Saccharomyces cerevisiae S288C: one gene and its partner. The protein of the gene in region 1 interacts with the protein of each later gene in a biochemical or structural test. Each region holds a gene or a part of one and is shown on either strand. Other genes may lie near its edges.

Region 1 (7,872 bases):
ATGTATACTGCATTGTATTGACGTCATGTTGATATGATTCAAAGAATCCAGCCAAATATTGAGATTGGTTGGGATATCATTGAAACTTGAATTTAAAGCATCGATATTCTGGAAGTAGCTTTCTGAACTTATTTGAACATCGAATGGATCTGTATAGGAAGATGTTTCTGTTGCTTCGGATCTCTTTTTTTCTCTTTTATCCTTCTTTAATTTCAAATACTTAGGCAACTGAAACAATAATGCAAATGGGTTTTTAGGATTGCCAAATCCGATTAGCTGTAAAAGCTGAGATTCAGCAAATGCAGGGGCATGCCTAAAATAATAACGCAATGATTCTGGATTTTGGCAAAACATGTCTTTTGTATCGAAAACGTCATTTCCGTTAAAATCTTTACCAAACTTGTCTTTGAAGTACATAAGCACAACATGCTGTAAATCCATATTCTCCAGGAAACTAGGTAATAGCATTACTTCAGTATGCTTTAAATAATCAATTAATTGAGAATTTCTATGGGCAATTTCATTATTGTTCGCACTACCAGAACTTCTATCTATGAATGCAGATTGATAGATATTTTCAATCAATAACTGTAACGTTTGCTGAGACGGAGTGAAGGGATCCTGACAAAAAACACTTTTTCCCAAGTTTACGAACGCTTCTAAACTGTTCTGTTGAACTGTGGCAATATGATAATATAGTTTTCCGCACCCATATATGTATTTCATTGATTCGGTATACCAATATTCGGCGCTTAGCCTCCAATCTATGAATCCTGATGGGTACAGCGATATTGCCATTCTAGACAAATCACCCAATCTTTGTCTCCACAAAATAGAATATTTCAACGGTATATCCTCAAGCATATTTGAGACAGAGATGAAAGCGTATATAATAAACTGACAACATACCTCTGGGTCCATAAAGTTCGAAAAGTTCTTTAGTACATCCAAGAAGGTTATTATACCATAAACCCACAATCTTTTTTCTATTCTGTAAATATCCAAAATTTCTTGGCCCATAATCAAGTCGTTTATAGGTTGTGTAGTTAATAATGCAGTGATGATGAAATTGATGTAATTTTTGATCAGTTCTGTGTTCAGTCTGTATATTGCCCACAAACTTTTTAGTTCTGTGGTTTGAGAGGTGGTTAAATAAAGGCATCTTTGTTGTAACTCGGTTTCCTGCACCACTATGATTTTATAAATTTCCTGCAGTTTTTTAATAAACGTCTGATTTGGCTGCGCCGAAGGAAGTTGCCTTATCATCGGCGGGGGTGAAGCAGCAACTACAGGAGCTCTTCTAATATCGGATAAAGTTACTTGGCTTTGGGGTTGCGAATTGCTATAAATACCATTTGAAGCGACTAATGGCTCGTCAGCTCTCATTTGTGGATTTGCGTTATCTTCATAAGTGTCTCTAGAAACAACCTTCATATTTCGAGCAAGCATAGTTCTATTCACATAATATGGAGATTTAGGAACATCCATTGTTGGAATAGAACTGGTCTTAACTTGTGGTGTCGATTCCATAACTTTGCGAGAGATGCTCGGTCTTCTAGATGCATCATCAGTTTTGGAGGGTGTGTTTTGTGCAGAGATCTGGCTATTAGTTATTCCATCTATAAATCCTTTCCCTACGGGATCTACAATTCCAGGCACCCTTCTTTTAGCGAACGACGACTCTGGTGTATCATTGTGCGACGAAGAACTATGTCGCTTTTGATGAAGAAATGCGGCGGAGGTCGGGCGCATATCGCTCACAATATGAGTGTGGTTGTTGTTGGATCTAGAATAATCAGTTTCATTACTAGGGTCATCATTCGCCGGCACCATTAGGTCAACCATATTATGCGATATCCGTGGTCTTGTTGTTATGTATTGAACCTAAAAATAACGTTAGATGCTGCCAAAGATCGGCCAAAAACGACTGTAAAGTGAAGTAAAGAGTACAGAATGAAGGATGCGCCCAAGAGGGAGATGTTTTCGGAGCGTTTTGTGTCTCACAAGATGTTCTCTTCTGTTCTTTCTCACTTTAAGGATTGATTCCCTATATTGCAACCAAAATCACTCAATTTTTCATCATAATTTTTCAATCATTACCCGCGCCATTGTCCATCAAAAGTAATACCATTTTGGGGCCCTGAAAAGCACACCAATACTTATTTATATTATCTCAAGATCGCTGGCACTACCGTCAGAAGTTTCTTTAGTTTCCTTGGATCCGAAATGTTTTTGCCAAACTTCTTCGCGATGGCTTCTTTTCTTGAACCATTCGTTCTTTGAAGGTGCGAGAATGACTTTTTCCTTCTTGTAATGCAAGAGATCGTTTATAACAGTTTTTTTTTTACCGAGTAAGTTGTTCTTAGGTTCGCTCCCTGATACAGAAGACTTGAGTACTTGGGAAATTTTTCCATGAGTGGGATCGAATCCTAGGCGTTGGATAAGCCCTGTCTGGAGGGCACTTTCTGTGGTTCGTTTCATTTTCTGTCGCTCTCCGACGCTCTTATCTTCTAATCCGCTGGATTCCCTCCTTCTCATAATTTTGCCTAGTTCGCGGCTCAGTGCTGTCGATTTCTTAGTTTCTATTATTTTCCTTCTTTTATTGTCTAAGTTTGCCAGCATATCTGGATTCTGAAATTTCTCGTCGAAAAATGCTTTGGCAGAATTACTATTCGTAAAATTGTGAGAGCTCTTTTTAAGTCTTTCCTCCTCTTCTGACAGGCGCTTACGAGTACCTTTGATTATATTAAACCCGTTTTCCCCTTTGGCCTTATATAGGCTTGGTTGAGAGTCCACTTTCGTAGGCGCGCCCAAGGCGTACCCACCATTTAATTCAATTCTTTTAGCACTTGTTCCACGAAATTGCACTTCTCTATGGTAATCGCAACACTTATGAAGAGATATGTTAATGGGAGAGCCACATTTTTTGTGAGTCTTTTTATTCACTATGGGACACCAACCTAAATCTCTACTTGAACCTATCTCCAGGATACATTTGAAGTCATGACTAATTCGAAGGTTGAAGGATTTGATAAAATTTCCTCGCCCTGAGGGTCTCCATGGTAGTACTTCTGGGTTTAATATTGCTATCACATCACCCAGGCGAAGATTATAATATCTTTCTACACCCTTTTTCCCGAAGATATAAACATCTAGTGTATGCTGAAAGTCCGTTATGGTGAACATGAAGAATTTGACTGGCTTTTCAGATGATGTAAATTTGATGTCCGATTTGTGGCTAATGAGGCCTACGGTGGCCCAGTTGGCGTATTCAGGCTCTTGAAATTTAGGTGGGCGAATTTTAGCAAAAAGTTTGCCCAACCGAAGGATTTTGATCTCATGCAAAGCCCGTTTTAAGTCATCTTCAGGTATGTACCTCTTTTTAACCCAAAGATTTGAAAAGCTTTCTAATTCGTTTGTGATTATCGGCACATATTTCTTCTCATCGGTACTGAACGTATGTACTCTTGCATTCATCATGCTTTCAAACTTGGCAATTTGTTTATCTTCGTTCTTCTTTGCGTTTTGAAATTTCTCCATAAAGTATGTGGTTGTACTAGCTGGTGGTTTTGGTTGCTGCTGTAATTGAGATAACCTTACTTCATTAATATTCGAACCTTCGAATTTTGTGCCTTGTTGTGTAGCATTATGAGACCCCACTTTCACACGGTTTTTGGTAGGAGATTGAGGTACCTCGATGGCTTCAAAATTAGGATCCTGGGGTTTCTTAAATTCTTGCTTTCTTTTTAATCGTTCCACTAAGGCCTGCCTCTTTCGTTCCATAAATTCAAGTTCTCTCGCGATGGCTTGCTCATCCTCTTCATCAGAAGTAATATTATTGTACGGATCAACCGCTAAAATTTCACGAGGATCATTCATTTCTCCACGAACCAAGTGCTTAATGTGCGTTGAAAATGTGAGGTTGAATTGACAAACTTACGTTCCTTTATCTTCGATGGCCTATAAAGTTGATATTTCTTAGTGGTGTTAGAAAAGGTGGGTTTGCGCATCCAAGAAACCCGCGTGAAAAAAAATGGCAAATAAACCCAAAATTTGTTCATACTTAACTACTAGTACGGATGTGTCATAAATCACTTTATGTCCTCTGTAATGACATTAGTGACATTTAAAATATGTAGATGTTTCATATTTATATAATTACATTGTTTAATATTACATCACTCGTTGGAAGCTTGATCATTTGCTGGACTCTCTTTAACCTTTTTGGTGTCTGGATCAGAAGATGTACCGCTCTCAATTGGCCGTTTAGATGTACTTCCAATTTCTGTTATTTTTGCTCCATCGGTGCTATTGTTAGTTAGATCGGTTACGTTGGAAAAGTTAATCGCCGCTTTGACTGCAACTTCAGGTTGAATATTGAGTGTACGTAGGGGGGCATTCGTATTGATATTAGATTGGGATGCTGTGAATGGGTTCTGAAAACTTTGAAGAGATGATGTATTAGAGGAGAAGAATGGCTTACCAAAACTAAAGGTTGGAATGGCCTTGTTACCAGCAGCGCTACTATCCACGATATTATTTTCTTTATTTGTAACCATTGACTGGCTGTCATTGAAGGAAACGTCATTCTTCACATTCTTCAATTGTTCTTGAGGTTTAAGGTTTTTTTGATTTATAAAGCCAGCGACAGCCGACGGCCTCTCAGAATTCCCCTTCGATGGACTGTTCCATAATTCTTCTTCGGCATCTTCCCCGCTACCTTTGTTATCAAGAAACGTTAAGCTTCCCGCGTTTTCTTTCAATTTCTTTCGAAATTCTTCTTCTAATTCTTCTTTACGCTTACTAATGATCTTTTGTATCCTTTCCTCGCTTGGTAACCTTATTCTTTTCTTTAAATTCTCTTCTGCTTCCTTAATTCTCCTTAACGTTTCATCTTCATATTCCTTTAGCCATTCCTTTTTCAATGTTTCGATATCTTTACTGTATTCTGCTTCTGAGCTTGTACTCTTATTTAAGGTCTCTTGTAATTTTTTTTCAAATTCCTTCGTTCTTTCGTCAATAATTCTGTCCTTTTCTTTCTCCATGTTAACTTTCAATTTCTCAAATGCATCAGATGAGCTATTCGCAGTTTTGAAAATTTGTAACTCCTTTTTGAGTGATTCAATTTCCTCCATTAATGTCCGATAAGTGTCCTTTTCGTGATCTCTCGAGACGTCTTCTGATTGGAGTTCATGTGCTTTGAGCTTCGTATCTAGATCAATAACTTTAGCGTTTTCAAAGTGTAGATCTTGTTCTAATTTGTCTTTAATTGCTTTTAATTCGTTGAGTTCGTTAGTTAAAGCAGCTTGTTGTTTCTTAGATGCGTCCAATTTTTCATGAGCCTGCTTCTTTAGCCTATTGAATTTATTTTCCAAGTCAGCGTTTGCGTTCTCAGCGCTTGAAAGTTTTCCCTTCAAATCACTAATCTCATTAGTTAGCTTTTCAATGTCTTTTTTTTGGGCATCTTTTTGTTGTTGAGATAAGTCCTGGTACCTCTGTTTACATTGCTCCATTTCACTTTCATATACTAAAATTTTGTTAGAATTTATCGAAACTTGTTCTTTTGTTTGTATGAGATCACGCTGTAATCGAGAAATTTCTTCTTGCCTATCATTTAATTGTTTATAAATTTCCCTGTTTTTTTCGGTTACGTTTTTGAGACTCTTTTGTAAGATGGCATTATTCTCTTTTAAAATGTTAACTTGAGTAACTTCTTTCGTGATATCCTTGAATTCGTCAATAATAACTGCAGAGCATTGGTATTCCTTCTCCGATAAAGTCTGGGTTCGTTGCAGGTCATTTATCGTTTTTTCTAAACTATCGTTCTTTTGTTTAACGAATGCCAATTCTCTCTTACAGGTGGTTAACTTCGTCTCTAAAGAATTTCTTTCATGACGTAAGTTTGAAAACAAAGAAACTAGCTTCAAATGATCTTTATCGCCATTATTTGCTGCTGTGTCATCAACCTTTTCAATCAATACCGAATTTTCAACACGCAAGGATTCCGTCTGTTCAATATTAGATATCAATTCTCTTTCATAATCAGCCTTTTCCTCCATCCATTTCCTTTCATGTTTATCGAGTAAATCCTGAGCGCTATACAATGAGGATTTGGTTTTTGTTAATTCTGCTTGGCAATCAGCCGCATCCTTTTCAAGGCGGATAACCAATTCAGATAGATCTTTATTTTCCTTCATTGTGGACTGATATTGGGACATTTCTTTTTTTTTGCACAGTTGGACAATCGTACTCATTTTTTCAATTTTTTCTATCATTTTTTGGATCCTTTCTACCTCATTCCTCAACTTTTCTGATTGTTGAACGAAATGCAATGCACCTTCTTTTAGTTTCGGTTGCAAAGCTCTTATTTCACCGAGCTCTCCGCGTAAACGAGATAGATCTTCTTCCCTCGCCCATTTTTCCTTCTTCTCTAGTTCAATCTTAGCATCGTAATTTTCTTTGGTTTTTGCTAGTTCATTTTTCAATTCTATTAGCGCATTTTCATTCGATGATATAATTTCTTCATAAGCCTGTATCTGTGAGTTTGCATCCTTCAATTGAACTTGGATTTGCTCTAATTCTTTTCTCAAAGTCGGTTCTAACGTGCTTGCATCACTATTTTGATCCAAGAATTTATATTGGAATTTGGTTTTTCTTAGTTCCTTATCCAGGTTCTCTATTTCTGATGAAAGTTTTTCAATCGTTGTTTCCTTATTTGATAATTCAGTTAGTAAGGACTTCATTTTCATTTCTGTATCATCGATGGTATTTTGAGCCCATTTGAGTTGCGAATCCTTGCATGAGCGTATCGATTCTATTTCTTGTATCTTTGATTGTAAGTCGGAACGTAATCTTTCCAAATTGTTTTCCAATTCTTTGATTTTGGCTTTGTATTGGCCCTCTTTCGAGCTAAAATCCATTTTATTTTCATTATGACTGATTTCAGACTCCTTTAGTCTCATCTGCAATTCTTTTTTTTCTTTGCAGCATTGTTCGAAATCTCTAGTTAAAGATTCTTTCGTGGGTATAAAGCTGGCAGTTTCCTTTTTCAGTTTGGAAATCTCGTACTCCAAAGATTTGATTTTGATCCTAGACTGTGACAGTTCAGTTGAGGCTCTTTCTTTCTCAACATGTATGTATGATGGAACCCATGATTTTTGTTTCTCGAGTTCAGCTTTTAGGTGGTCTATTGCTTCCTCTAACATACGTTCTTTTTCCTTTGCCAAACCCTTGAAATTTTCAAAATCCTCTAAAGTTGTTTTTTTTTTGCATTGTGATTTCTTATAAATTAACAACTCTTTTCTTAAATTCTGAATAATAGCAGAGTTTTCGACTTTTGTAGATGAAAGTTCTGCCTCAAGTTCTCTAATCTTCTTTTCACGGGCTGCTTCCATAGAAGTGACAGAATTTGTGTTGGCCTTGTTTTCTTCAGTTGATGCCAGCAATTTGTAAGAATCCCGCTCTCTTAATAGGATATTTATCCGGGTTTCCATCTTCGCATTGATGTTCTCCAGTTCAATTATTGCATCTTTTGCTTCTTTAATGGTCTGGTTTTCTACCTTTTGTAAGGTCTTGTCTTGTTTTCCTTCATAATTTTCTAATTTATCAGCCAAAATCCGAATGCAATTCAAGAGTTCAACATTTTTTTCTTGTAGCTCATTCACATTACTGAATTCAACCAGTCTTTCCGTAATGATGGCTTGGGAATCATTTTCATTTACGATATTGCTCGACTCCAGTATTTTTCTTAATGATATCAGTTCATCTTGCGATAACGGCGATGCCGTTTCCTGTATCGCAGATGTATTTAAAAGAAGTAGTTTAACTTGACGGGCCAAATCCAAACGTTGTTTCACCAGAGAATGAATATTT
Region 2 (6,818 bases), on another chromosome or scaffold:
GACACAGGTTCAGCATATGTAAAATATAACCTAGGGGCAGATCTTTATAAGGAGCGTACTTTAAAAGAAATTTGTTGGCATACGGATGATGCGTACTAAATGGTTGTTCAATGCTAAATTTTAATGTCGAAGAACGATAATTGGATGGATGCCCCGAATCGTGCTTTAAAACTTTAAAGTCATCGTCAGACTTATCCTTCGAGTTCTTTAAATTAATCGTATTAGCTGTCCTTGCCTTTCTATTTCTTGAACTTAACCTCATTCTAAACCAGGAAGATGACGTAATGTCAGATATAGGTTTTGCTTTCTGAGGAGATGACCTTGTGGACTTCGCAGAAGCTTTTTTCAATGATCCAGCAGTGGAAACTCTTGACAGATTACTACCAGAAGAGATGTTACCATTGCTGGTATTAGACGTGGTTGAAGACAATGAGACATGGGAGGTGTTATAGATGGATGACATGATACTCGTCGTTATGGAAGCAACGGAACTATTGGAACGTTGTCTCCTTGTAGAGTGAACACCGGTGGAATTTCCAGAAGATGTAGAAGTGATAGAAGAAGAACGAGAAACCACTTTTTTCAGTTTAAAGCTGTTCAACAGAGGAGAGCTATAAAGGGGTTCATTTCTGTATCTCCAGTCTCTCCAACCAGCTAATGCCAAGTCTTCAACTTCACTGCCATTTGAAGCGTCGTCTTTGATTAATCCGCTATTGGCATCATCCTCGTTAGAAATGGTAGATGTTGGAGTAGCTGGAGGTAGATTCAAACTTGTGTTAGTAGATCTGCGGCGACGGCGTCTGTGACGCCTTGAGTGGCCATCATCGTCTAGGCCTTGAGAATCCTTCGAGTCTTGGCCTATAATTCCCGGCTTCAAGTGTGATAGGTCCAATACTTTCACGTATGCCCCGTTATCCGGATGTAATCTTAGTGAGGTGACAAACTGCGCCACTCTGTAAGTGGAAGTGAAGTAAGGTAGCCTATAAAGGACGATCTTTGTCGCCTTATAAAACTTCTTCGATACGTATAGACATCTTACGAGTGTCTTTTGATCACGACCTAACTCGAATTCAGAAAGTATTTTGGCAATTATTTCAACTGGTAAATCGTTGATATCGGCAAATTTGCCCCAAGCATGGTATTTTCTCTTCCTCAGCTTTTCAAATCTGGAATTTTCATGTTTACCAGAATGGGAAGTCTTCAGAGAAAATATAGAAAATGAGTCGGATGAAGCACCATGATCGTACAATTTATTCATAAATTTTTTTGAAGAGGTGGAGATTAAGGATTTATACTTTTTTTTAATCCTTGATTTCCTTGAATTCATCGTTATGATAGTTTCATTATCTAAAGATGTGACGTCGTCACTGCGTCTCTGACCTATGGAAGCCAAATCATCAGGAGCGCTGGATTGATTTTGATTGCTGAGTGGAGATTTGAACGTCGATAAGGGTGATTGACTCATTGATCTGGAGCAATTTGAGCCATGACGCTGTTTGCTCCTGGACTTTTGTGAGATAGATGACAGTTTACCAACTGTGGTAGAATTCTTACCAGCATTATTGCTACCACTGCCGTTACTATGATACAACTTATCGTAAACGGAAGTTCCGTAACGAGAATAGTTGTTAGAAACAATATTGACGTTTTGAAGTCTTGAAGCACTTGACATCAATACACTCGACCTTGTTTAGTGTACCTTTTTTTCTTTCTCCTTTTCCCCTCTTGCTTCGAGTGTCTATATAGTTCCTCCCCGCAAATATTCTTCAGCTAAAAATACTATCGTCCGGGATTTTCAAGAATAAAAAAATATCTTCAAATATAATCTAGTAAACGGAATAAAATAGGACTACCGTACTGAGCGGACAGGTTTGTAAAGGTTATATTAGTTTGAGAGTGGGACTATATATATATAGACTATATAAATATATATATATATATACTTATATTTTTGACAGTAGGGATGGAGATCGATGAATGTTGCCTTCACATGTTAATGAATGAAAAAAATTTTACTGTCTGCGGGTCCCCTAAAAGTCCTCTTGGCGATAACAGAATGGGTGCCGGCAGGTATCTCAAATTCGGATTATTATCAAGCGCTACGAATTATTCTGAGAACAATCTTTTCATTTTCTGGAAGAACTCCGCACGGTGTACTCTCTGGTATACTCAGGGGCTGACGGTACCCTGTAGCACGGCTCTCCACAGGCACATCTGAGCAATACTAGCTGGCCCTATTCCGCTTGAAGATAATTTTCCTTTCTCCGCAAAAAAAAAAAAACAAGAATTGGGCCGCGGTGCACGGACATGCGCAGTCATAATGTTAAGTCCGAAATGTGTGGGGTCTGTGGCTGGCAAAAGCGATGAATAATATTAGTAAAATTATAATAATACAGAATACATATCTTGAAAACTGGGCCTTGGAAGTAAGTTACAGAAGGTAAATTTGAATGTGCAGCTATATGGAAATGAAAAAAAGGGGGAAAAAGAATAAAGAATGAAGGCCCTGTTGCTTTTTTTTTTAGAACTTTCAAGCGTCTTGTAGATCGATATCAGAATCTTGGGCGCTCACATTAGCGGAAGCGGTCGTTTGTGGTGCGAGTTTAGGCGTGCTCACTAGTGAGTCTTCCTGGTCTGTGTCCATGGTACCGTCATCCACGAATTTCAAAGTGTTACCCTCATTAATTAAATGCCAGACGTTTAAGTAAGAATATTCTTGGATACAGTTGCTTAATTGTAGCATGGTAAACCCTCTTAGTCTTACAGTTTTCACAATATTTTCATATGATAGCGTGTTTTTACCAGTTTCTTGTAACATTTTCTTGATGATCGTAAAGATTTTCGTTGTGGGGCTTTCATCTTCTTTAGATTTGTTGGTTTCTTGATACAATGATTCCTTGGAGACTCGGACCAACCTCAAGGCTTCCTCCACATCATCTATATCCACCATATCAGCCAACCTTAACTTTGCTAGCGCTTGAGATAATCTTATAATACCTAGTAAAGTTCTCGGAGTGGCTTGACCAAAGGAAAATTTGGAATCCATTTCTCTCTTGGAGTCTTGTCTTAATCTGATGTAAGCTTGCACCACATAATCGTTTACAGCTTCACTCATCACTGGCCTCTTTGTCTTAGCATAGGCAATGTACTCTCTCATTTTAGAGGGTTCTACTGGAGTGAAGTCCAAATCCGGTTGTTTATTATGCATATGCACATATGTAACGTGCTCGGCTAATTTTTCGTCGTCATCTCTACTTGGTATATCTAACATTAAGAAGAGAATATCAAATCTGGATAGTAAAGCAGCTGGTAGATTTATATTGTCCAGAGGTGATAATCTAGGATTATATCTACCATACAACGGATTTGCTGCCGCTAAGATTGAGGTTCTGGCGTTCAAAGTTGTATTGATACCCGCCTTGGATATCGAAATTGTTTGTTGTTCCATAACTTCATGGATTGCCGTTCTGTCACTTTCATCCATCTTATCAAATTCATCGATACAACAAATACCGTTATCAGCGAGTACTAAGGCACCACCTTCTAGAATCATTTCATCCGTGACAGGATCTTTCATGACGGCAGCGGTCAGACCAACGCCTGAGGAACCCTTACCAGTGGTATACACTCCTCGAGGTGATATTTTGCAAATGGCCTTCAGCAGTTGAGATTTGGCAACACCGGGATCACCCATCAGACAAACATTGATATCACCTCTGATTTTCATACCGTCACCTACCCTTTTATCAACACCTCCGACAAGTAATAGCAGCAACGCTTTCTTTACGTCCAAGTTACCGTAGATTTCCGGTGCAATAGATTTTGCCAGCCTATTATAAACATCACCAGAGGTGATTAATTCCATAACTCTCTCTTCTACATCAGAAGTCAGACTGAAAGACGCAAATTTCTTCTTGTGTTGACGGACAAACTGTGCCTCTAAATAAGTTTCTGTCAGTAAGCCAGCTTTCAAAGCTTTGAAACCGGTGTAGGGCGCTGGCAAGAATATACCAGTTACATCGACGATATCACCAGGCGATAAAGATCTTACCAGCGTCCCGTTAACGTGGATATTTAGCGACCTAGGAATATGACCCACTGGCACTTGTTGTGATAACTCCTGAATTTTACATTCCTGAAAGGCACTAAATTTGGAAGCTCGTGTACTCATAAACAATTGACCCTTTGTTTGATTTTGGGAACATTCTTCGGAAGTACATTCTGACAACGGAGTAAAAGTACGAGAGTTGACCTCTTGGAAAACTTCGTACCCACATTGATCGCAGGTATATGCGATAACTTCCACAGCTGGTTTGACATCAGAAACTCTGGTGATAATACCTCTGACGGTAATCAATTGGCCTAGGAAGTCACCTTTAATCTGCCTAACAGATAATGGTTTAGAACTAATTGCTTTCTTCCTGTAACGACGAGCACAATTTTGCGATAGAGGCTTAAAATAAAGGAAATAGCGTCTAGTTAAATTAGGAGGAAATAACTCAGTTTCATCCTCGACAACTTCTCTTAACGCATCATTCATGGAAGAGGGTGGATCCATCGTGGTATCCATGAGGTTTTCGCTTCGGATCTCATTGGTCCTGTCCGAGAGCATTCTCTCATTCCTCAGTCTCCTTTGGTTTAAAATAACATCAAGAACGTCGTCCTTGTAGTCAATTTCTTTTGTTGGTAGCGGCATGTTGTTGTCAATGGCACGGCAAAATAATTCAGTGAAGTGATTAGCGTTTTGTTGAATGGCAGACACAAGGTCGTCTGCCTGTGTGCCCTGGAGAAACTTTTCGTTTTGATACTGTAGAATGTCATCTAAATCAATAATCACGGAATTCAGTTCCCTATTAGCCACTTTCTGTAGCATCGCCATGTACTTGGGCCCCTTTTCCAATAGATGTTGTTCGATATTCTCAGCATCCAAATTTTCATCTTCGTTCTCATTTCGTGTTGCATCAGAAGACAACGTATCCTGCTTGAAAGTCACCAAAAAATCGGTGATTTCATTAAAAAGATTATTATAGTCGACAGGAAGCTGAATTGATGGAAGTGCCGCACTCATAATCTGGTCTATCTGTATTGAGTTCTTCCTGCAAGATTCAAGCTAATCTAGGTAGTGATTATATTGCCTTTCTAAATGTAAGTTATTGGTAAAGACGTGTATGTAGCCTGCTACTGTAGTACATCTCGCTCTGGTCCTTTGCTTGTATCTCACTTTCGTGAAAAAAGAAGCAAACCGACTTAATGAATTGCATTTATTTTCCTTATAAGGAAATTTCCTTTCTGGGTAAATTAGTTAAGAAAAATTTTTTCGAGGCCGTGAAAAACGCGAAGGCTTATACAATGTATTATGAGTGAGTAATAAGTAGCATTCAAGGGTAGAAGGGGCCTCGACCTGTTATTGAGAAAATATACAAGAAGCGCTTATTATATTCGAGTAGCGGCTACGTTGACCTAGCAGGTATCCCGTGGGTAATAGTTTAAGTTATGACATTCACACCACTTTAGAATTTACTTACTCTTTTACCCTCTCTGTCTCTCGTAGGGTACATTTCTTTGTGCTTCTATTCTGTTGCTCTCAGACAAATTTGGAAGTTTTACAGTAAATTATTTTTACTCTTTTCCTTGTCGTCGTAATCAGTGAGGTATCCTGCCTGGTACCTTCCCCTCATTTTTGTACGAAGTATAAACAAAAGCACGGAAAAGGGGAAGCTAAGGAAAGTGAACACCTGTGCTTCGCATTGTTTGCTGCGATTAAAAAAGGTAATACAAAGGCAACTTTAAGCTTTTGTACCGTATCGGCCTATCATAATAGAGAGCCCGCGCACTTCCTAAGAAAGGCAGTTCGTTGCAACTCTCCGGTGGTTTCTTCGCCACTGCAAGGAAGACAATAGCTCGAGAAGGTCATTATTGTTGGAAATATGTTAATTACCATAGCAACAGCAAAATATTCCTAATTCTCAGAGTTATATAAGCAGGGTATATAATAGGCCATCTGCAAACGGACACCAAGTTTTTTTTCTTCTTTCCTCTCCTCTCCTCTCTTTTATATTCCACATTTATTCCCTGTGACAAGGCGAAAACCAAGAATTTTTTTGTAATATATAGGAAATATCACAAAAGATCGAGGACTAACAATGCTGGCCATGAAATCATTTTCACAAGTTTCTAAATCATACAAGGCAAGTGCTCCCAGTAAAAAGCTGACGACGTTGTTTTATGTTGCTTACATCACTCTGGGACTAACAACACCTTTCCTTCTACCGGCCCGAATGGCTTCTAAAGACACACACTACTACAAGGACGAATTTTGTTCTCAACGATCATACACCAGGTTTTAGAGTCTTTCGAAAATATGGGTTATCATTAGGGAGAAAATTACCGAGACTTTTTCGGCTACTTATTTATTCTGCATTTATACATTTGAGACAGGTTCTTCATATTATTTTTAGTTTGTGGGATTGCAGTTTTAACTGTACTGTTTTCACATCTTTCATTCATTCTAGTCAACGTTTCATTTATCCTTGGCCTATTTTATATGTAGTTATTTATGCTAAGTATGTTTGTTTATCAAGCGTTCACTTTTGTTATTGGTTTTTGGTAAATAAAAACGGCCTTTCCTTTAGGGTGTTTCAGTGTTGCGGAACCAGTCGTACGGAGATTTACACAAATCGATGCCATAAATCTTCCCTATTATATCATCCATGTAGTAAATTACGTGACCTGGCATGAAATTCATGGCAATTTCTAACCAGCTACGCTTATATACAAAATACATTACTGCATTCATGTAGATTGGGAATATAGATGGT

Evidence for each region.
Region 2: the proteins of MCM10 (region 1) and MCM7 form a complex in vitro, tested with the Saccharomyces cerevisiae proteins (2 studies listed by BioGRID).

The regions. Positions count from the first base shown.
Region 1 is NC_001141.2:58,850-66,721, forward strand, and holds MCM10 (Mcm10p), read right to left. Parts: upstream 3,880-7,872; coding exon 2,164-3,879; downstream 1-2,163. Other genes in the region: ESL1 (Esl1p), read right to left, coding at 1-1,845; MLP2 (Mlp2p), read right to left, coding at 4,179-7,872. UniProt on the Saccharomyces cerevisiae protein: Required for DNA synthesis. Required for entry into or completion of S phase. Involved in DNA replication and seems to participate in the activation of the pre-replication complex (pre-RC) and in transcription elongation.
Region 2 is NC_001134.8:624,022-630,839, reverse strand, and holds MCM7 (DNA replication licensing factor MCM7), read right to left. Parts: upstream 5,069-6,818; coding exon 2,531-5,068; downstream 1-2,530. Other genes in the region: COS111 (Cos111p), read right to left, coding at 1-1,672; MIN7 (Min7p), read left to right, coding at 6,144-6,347; DER1 (derlin), read right to left, coding at 6,629-6,818. UniProt on the Saccharomyces cerevisiae protein: Acts as a component of the MCM2-7 complex (MCM complex) which is the putative replicative helicase essential for 'once per cell cycle' DNA replication initiation and elongation in eukaryotic cells.